Linked DNA regions of Drosophila melanogaster. The protein of the gene in region 2 purifies or fractionates together with the protein of the main gene of each other region. This does not show direct contact. Each region holds a gene or a part of one and is shown on either strand. Other genes may lie near its edges.

Evidence for each region.
Region 1: the proteins of Cyp4e2 (region 2) and Flad1 purify together in Drosophila melanogaster (affinity purification with mass spectrometry, with the first as the bait; one large-scale study listed by BioGRID). This does not show direct contact.

Annotation. Positions count from the first base shown.
Region 1 is NC_004354.4:12,901,712-12,905,640, forward strand, and holds the start of Flad1 (flavin adenine dinucleotide synthetase 1), read right to left. Parts: upstream 1,806-3,929; 5' UTR 1,630-1,805; coding exon 1,618-1,629; intron 1,452-1,617; exon of another isoform or gene 1,367-1,451; intron 1,256-1,366; coding exon 605-1,255; intron 141-604; coding exon 1-140. Other genes in the region: CG4404 (uncharacterized protein), read right to left, coding at 2,566-3,323, 3,902-3,929.
Region 2 is NT_033778.4:8,442,324-8,446,252, reverse strand, and holds the start of Cyp4e2 (cytochrome P450 4e2), read right to left. Parts: upstream 1,694-3,929; 5' UTR 1,580-1,693; intron 1,543-1,579; exon of another isoform or gene 1,526-1,542; 5' UTR 1,483-1,525; coding exon 1,323-1,482; intron 1,272-1,322; exon of another isoform or gene 1,172-1,271; intron 896-1,171; coding exon 786-895; intron 720-785; coding exon 370-719; intron 312-369; coding exon 1-311. Other genes in the region: Cyp4ad1 (cytochrome P450 4ad1), read left to right, coding at 3,501-3,666. UniProt on the Drosophila melanogaster protein: May be involved in the metabolism of insect hormones and in the breakdown of synthetic insecticides.

The DNA.
Region 1 (3,929 bases), on a different chromosome or scaffold from region 2:
TTCCCGATCGAGGTGTAGCCCCGATCGTACAGGCTGCAATAGGGCACCGAGTTCAAGTGGATGTAGTGCCAGACGTCGTGGTAGCTCCACTCCAGCAGCGGATTCAGGCGCATCATCGGCGGCCAGTCGTTGTCCGTGGGCTAAAAAAAAAATCGAAATTAGCATCACTAGGCACTTGGGGTTTCCTAATAGGAAACAGCAGTTTCGAACTTTCCAAAACTATTTCAAGCTAGCTTCATTATTATCTTTGTGATCTTGTGAGATTTTCAAATAAGCGGGATACATTTGGTTTTGTAAAATACTCGAATAAATTCTATGTTAGGTGGTGAACCACAGAACTCGCTTATCTGCGGAATGGAATCATGACATTCGAAAATGCCACTGTCACTGTGATATTGGCAAAGGGCACATACTTTTCTAGATTAACAATGGCATAATTTTGATACTAAGGCTGTGACTTTGATAACTTGGCTTTATAATCAATCTACTACTCTTGAGAAAGAAACTTTTCTTCACACTTGAACCTACGAACTCCTGAGCATTTCAGTGCAAAACATTTAAATATGATTTATCTCCTGATTGCTATATTCCTAACCAGCTTCACCTGCATGGGCGCCAGATGCTGGCAGTAGGGATCCGTGTTGCGGCTGCCCACGAAGACGGCCTTGATCCGCGGCATGTCCGACGACATGTGGGTGAGTGCCTCCTTGAGCGTACCCTCGTACTGAACCAACTGGACGCGGTAGTTGCGTACGCAACGCTCGACGAACTCATCGATTTCCGGAAACGAATCGCCGGATTTAATGTACAGCATGGGAATGTCGCCGCTGGAGATGTTCTCCTGGCGCAGGTAACGCATAAGGAGATCGAGCAGCACGGTGCAATCCTTGCCGCCGTTGAAACAGAAAATTAGCTCCTCGACGCCGTAGATTTGCAGGGTTTCGGCGAAGAAGGCGAACGCTTTATTTTGCCGCTCCTCAATGGCCAGTCGATCCTCGGCTGTTAGTTCCATTGGATTTGATATATCCTGTCCCTTTGCCACATCCTTGGAGTTCTCCGAACGATCCGACATGCTCCGTTTCTCTAGAAACAAATGCTTTTTGCTAATGCTCTTTGCGCATAGAATGCTGTTGTTCGCTGTAATGTTTGTGATGTTTGTGATGTTCTTCCGGCATTCGTTCATGGTGCTCAGTGGGCGTAATGTTTGTGGGAGGCGTGGCCGTGCCCTGGCTAGCAAAAACGATGACGTCACACGCTGTTAAAGTCAAAAGAGCAACTATTAGCACTCAATAAATAAAACATAAAAAAAACTTTCGCCGAAAAATATCTTTTTTTTGCGTGTGTGTGTGTGTGTGTAAGTATTTACTTTATGTAATTTTCTAGGCCCATAAACAAACTTTAACTGTGCGATGAGCGTGGTAAATGCTTCGGCGGTTGACGTGCGAGTGAGTTGGCTTATTTGTGGCCAGCCAAAAATTACATCACTTTCGTATCGGAAAAGTCAGCAAAAACAAAAAAAAAGTGATATAAAGCCAAAACCTCAGGCCCTCACACGCACACGCACACACACGCATGCAGGCCAAACACATGGCGCACGCACACACGCGCATAGCTCACCCAATAGCTCATGTGTTTCGTTGCTGCATCGACTGTTTACTGGCGCACATTTAACTGATGAGTTACGGCGACAGCAATGCAATTATTCCATTTTGTTAATTGTTATTCCGCGCCAGTGATTTTCCTTCCTTTTTTCGTCTTTTTAGTGCAACAACAAGCGAACGGCGACAACAACAACAACAAAGCCAGGAAGCTTTGCGTACTATCGGTGCATCAGCTGTGCGCTGAATCTATCGATTGCACTCGATTAAGGCGGTTGGCTAGCTAGAAATTCAAAAAAAAAGCTAGAAATTTATACATTAAATAATTTTGAAAGTTTCGTTTTGATTTTAATCCGCAATTTCGCATATCGCCAGCAAATGCGACATATATACGCAAATTTTGTTTCTGTTCCGTCTGAAGTAAAATAAAATGTTCGTAGTTTAAATGTTTTATTCGACAATAACAAATTCGTGTTTGTGTGTGTGCTTAACAACAACAATAAAAAGCGTAATTAAAGTACGCTCTACACATCTAATAAATGGGCACTGTTGGCGTTTTCTATCAACTGGGTGTGTTTTCTTCGATTCTTGTGGCTTTTTTTCTTCACGGAGAGAAAATATCACATAACTGGTGATTTCATCCTGTTCCACTGGGCGCTTTACAAATTTCGATGCAGTGCATATAAACTTCGATATAAATTTCATGTACGTTCACACTTAACTTAGACATAAATATTTAAAAACTAAGTTCATTGTCTAAAAGTTAGCAATATGATGGCCAGAATGAAATCTGAAAGTGGTGAAAATGTTGGTTTTGAAATAATGTTGCATTTGGTATGTAGAATATTTCCGCACAATCATTCAAAATATGCATCTCTTGTGTGTGGTAATTTTGATAGAGCCGTTTACAAATCGTAATTTTCATCGCTGAAACGTAAGCATCTTCGGTTTTTTTTCCGTGTACAAATTAGACATCCTTGTTATCCAGAATATCGTCGATGAGTCCGACGACCTTCTGTCGAAACTTTCGATTCTGCTTGCCGTTCATCTCCTTGATGTACGGATGCAGGCTGATCAGAAAGGAGTAGTCGGCATCCGGTTGTGAGCCACCTCCTCCTGGTCCGCCAGTGAAAACACTTAGAGCTGACGTAGCCGGCTGCGGCGGCGGTGGTGGTGATGTTGGTGTTGTTGTTGTTGTGGTTAACTTGTGATGACCGCTGCCATGTCCCTTGAACCACTGCGTCAGATCCGACCAGCCCAGGTGATTGCCCAGCGCGGCGGCGGGCACCGAGACCAGCGACTGCTGGCTCACCATCCGCTCCAGCTGCTGGTTCGCATTTGACGAATCGTGCTCCACTTTGATGGAATGCAGGCGGAGCGGCAAACAGGCGGTGGGTTGCTCCCGATCCTGTTCCTGATTACGACGATGCTCCTCCTCGGACACCTGAACGTCCAGCGGCATCTCACCATCGCTCACCTTGGCCTCCTCCTCCGCCGCCACCACCTCATCTTCCTGCTGAGCAGTGGCAGCTTGGCCGGGTTTGCGGAGCACCATGCCCGGCAGCTGCTTGTGGCAGGATCGCGACTTGGTGAACGGAACGAGAAACTGAAGATACTTCGATAGGTAGTATTTGCGCTTGCCGCGTCCCGTTTGTGTGCGTGCCAGCTTCAGGGATCGCAGGAAGCTGCTCCTTATGGTGCGCCATCGCTCGCGACAGTTGCGAACTGCAGGAGAAACAAAACACATCTTTTACAGTACAAATTTCTACGGTACAAATTGAAACTTGTTCACCAAAAGGTAACCACAGTACTGAGTTGATTTGCACATCAAACTCAATTCTTGGATTTATACTTGTTTGTAACATGGAATATTTTGTAGTTTAAATACTTTTATTTTGTATTTATTTTGAATTTATTATGGGAATTTAGTTGTACGAATAGTACTTGGTTTTTTTCCAGTGCACCTTGGCTGAGTGCAGCAACAGTAAACGAAAAGCGAAACGCAAAAGCAGCAACAAATTGCAGGCAAAAACTGCGCGACACAGTGACACACCTACACCAATGCAAAGCCAGGCAAATGGAAAACAACAACAAGTGCATTCGTTTCGCACACCAATTCGCGAAAGCTTGCATCATAGACACACACACGCACAGACACACACACACACACACAGGCGCGCGCGCACACGGACAGTGAAATGAGCACGCAATTGGCGGCGAAGAAGAAGAAGAGGAAGAAGCAGCAGCTTGAGGCGGAAAATCGCCGTTGCCTTTTGCCGATTTATTTTTTACCGCCTTTTTACCCGTGTCCTTGATATCGTTGGCAACCTG
Region 2 (3,929 bases):
TATCATGTCCTTCAAACATAAATGTGGAGACCTCTTCGTACAGTTCCTTGGAGTTCAGGGGACGACCATCAATAGTGGAGGACAGCAGAGTGTCTAAAAAGGCCATTTTCTTGCGAGTGAACTCATCTCCCGCGTTGGTCGAAACTGCACCCGATTTGTGGGCTTCAATGCGCTTAGCGATGATCTCGTTGGTAAAGTCCTGCAGTGTTTTTAGAGTCCTGCTATAGGCCGGGTAGTCCGGAGCCAAACGATACAGCAGTTCATTGCGCTTCAGCGGGTGGAAGGCTCTCATGTTGATGTTGTAGCACATGCTGAAAAGGATCAAGAGTCATGCAATCTGATAGTTCGACTACGAGGTACGAAACTAACTCTTTGAAGGCCTGCACAATGGAAGAGCTGCGGTTTTCCATGGCATTGATGGACACACCCATCGCTGTGTCGCAAATGACATCCAGGGTCAAATAGTGGGCCTGTTCTTGGAAGTCGAATATATTGTCCCCGGCAGCAACTGTCTTTAAGTGCTTGATAAACTTGGTGGAGTTCTCGTTCATCACCTCGTGGAAGTCCTGCAGGATGTTGAAGTGGAATGCTGGGGTGATCATCTTGCGGTGTTTATGCCATTTGCTGCCAGTACTGGTGAGGAGACCTAATCCCAGCCAAGGGTGTGTTAGTTGATAAATGTCGGACTTTGTGATCAGCGTCTGACTGCTGAGTATGAACTGAAGAAGTACGAAAATAATAGAGTCACATGATTACATGATTGGTGGAAATTCGCTGTAACTCACTTCAAGGTACTTGGAGCTGGTGACCAATACATTAGAATACGTTCCAATCCAAAAGACGAAGTTGTCTTTTCCATACTGATGCCACCAGGAGAAAACCGTGTCGAGTATTTCTATATAGACGTGAGAAAATGCCATTAGTAGGCGGATCGCGTACCAATATCGGTATTCCGTAGATAATCATTGCTTGTTTTTGGCACGCGATTTTCAGTATTCATTAGTGCAGTATAATACATACATACATACATCGTATATTACACAACACAAATCAAAGCCTCGTCATTATTTTTGCGATACTCGACCTAGGCTACGATTAGCCCATTTCTACAAGTGCCAGTAGCCCCATTATCTGATAGTTAACACCCTTGTTTTCCGGTCGTAAAGTCGCTGGCCCAAAATAACCTTACTTGAATAGCCTCGCCGCTGAGTAGATTCGATGCGCAGTTACCTCAGTCACAACGCTATTCGAGATGGGTAATTTCAGGTGTGTCCTCTGCGTGGCTAACGCTACGACTTTTCCGGCTCCTATGAAAAACCCACCTGACGGATTCTTGCCCATTTGATGAGCGTTTCCCATCAGCGGCAGGCCGCGGGGGCCGTTGAACTTGTTAAGCACTCTTCTCCGGCGGAATGTGCTCAACTCCAGATATGCAACCAGCAGCAGTGGTAGGGCCAGAAAAATATACAACACGAACCACATTTTCGATCGCGAGTTCCACGACAACCGTCCAGCCCGCGAATCACTGGAAATATGAGAGCTTATTTGGGCCGGCGGGCGGTTTAAATACGAGAGATACCAATATCAGCCAGCTCCCCAGTCGCTTGCTCCCTTATCTGCCGTTTTCCTAATCCAACTGTAGTCTCCCGAATATAAGTATATATTTTGGTGCTTTCAGCATGACTTGCCGAATCAATATCAGGTTTTTTAAGATGAGCCCCCTGATTAATCGTTAGATGAGATGGAGAACCAATAGTTTTCGAGACTGCGCTTAAATGTGTAACAGTTAACTTTTTTTAAAACTGTATCCAGTATATATTGTTTTATGGCAGCAAAAAATGGAATAAAACAAAACGTTGATAAACATTCGCTCACAACAAGAAAGAGAAATCGGGAGAATTGATGAACACATTATGTTTGCAAAATGTTTTTAAGATTACTCTTACAGAAATTGAAGAGAAGAGAGAGAAAGTCGCTTGCTCTTCTTAGCTTATCAGCAGCAAGACTTAAATTTGGTAGAAATCACAGACGTAAGGTAAAATCCACTGCAAATTTAAATTTACATTTACATTTAAGAAATGATATCAGCACAGTGTGCGTTTATTTTTCGATTATTCTGTTCCGCTCCGTCACGTTTTGAGTTACATATGTAAATAGAAGCAATCTTTTTGGAAGAGTTTTATAGAGATAGTTTTAGAACTGAGAGACGCACATGGCTATATCGATATAATATCAGTCAATAAAACATGATACTGATCAAGAATATATATACTTTATATTCTCGCTGCAAAATTCGAACTTAAGCCAAACACGAAAAACGTTTTAAAAGAAATCCAATTTTTTACATTGTCTCTGCATCATGACTTGTAGTATGATAAAAGCATTATAAAAGCATATGGGAAATGCATTCTTTCGTAAAAATATGCTTTCGGAAACGAGTTAATTTGTGAATTTACATCAAAATGAATAGCTTTGAAGATAAATCTAGTGGAAGAGAAGAAAATGTTAAAAAGCGGCATTATTCTGTTCGTTGTTCTTCCGTTATCAGCACAATGCTATATATTTTTCAAGAAAACGCTGTTATGTATAATTACATTATATATATATATGTTATATTTATATTTGCTAAAGCAAATAAATTACTTTGGACGGCATTCCACCTAGTGACTAATCGCACTAGGAGTGTGTGCGAATGCGACTGCTATATGTACATATATATATACACAATTAAATGATAAGTTCTGTAGTTGTACGAACTTAAGAAATGTTTATACTTATGTATATGGTAATTCTTAATTTTTTGTCCTATTTTGAAAAAAAAAAACTATTTAAACTTATTCGTTTTAAAATTCAATGCTGTGTAGCTATTAAAATTCCTTATTAATATTAAAATTTTTTTAAATGCATTAATAAATTGAAAAGTCATGATCGTCTGGTAAGTATAAATATAAATATAAACACCAATCAAATTTTTTTTTAAATTTATATGTATTTAGTTGTTAATATCAATCTTTTTACCACACACCTTTTCAATTTGATTGCTTTTCCAAAAGTTATCTATTTTGTGTTTACTATGTTGAACAAACAGCTTATCGTGCCGTTGTTAATCCCTCAATCAAAAGTGTCCCTATTAATAATTATTGCGTGTCAAAAATTATGGCTACCGCCCTAATTCATTATCACGAAGCGACTAACAATCGTTTATTGGCCCCAAATCTTCTGGCGATACCAAAAGGCCTTTAGACCTACACGTCATCAGTTTAGTGAGTCAATTCCCACTAGGTAGTCCACAATAGTTATATTTATCAATTACCGACGGCAATAAAGTACTATGTTAATAGTACATCGATTGCAAGCAACAAACAAAAAATAAAATGCATAAAGTTCAGATAAGCTATCGAAGGCATAATCGGGCGAAAATTGGTCACCGACTAATCTGCGAATGTTACGGCAAACCACAGTCTGTGCGGCATTGCGAGCGAGAACAGTTGGGCGGCATCATGTTTCTAATAGCCATTGCCATTATTTTGGCCACCATTTTGGTGTTCAAGGGAGTGAGGATATTCAACTACATAGACCACATGGCTGGCATCATGGAGATGATCCCAGGACCCACGCCATACCCCTTCGTGGGTAATCTGTTCCAGTTCGGTCTCAAGCCAGCCGGTGAGTACTGACCAAATAGCCTGCCTATATTTATGAACTCTTCAACGTTTAATGCCAAAATCGTGGCTCTGACCGAATCAGCCCGCCGCAATCACCTGGGAATTTTGCAGCGATTCAATGCGTTCATTTTCCGGTGGTATCGAGTTGCACATTTGGATTTCATCTCGGATTGTGCTGATTTCCTCGACTTATTTATTGTAATATTTGCTACAGCTTTCATCATCAGGCGCCGTGCACATTTCCCGAGTGCCTTTCCTTGCACA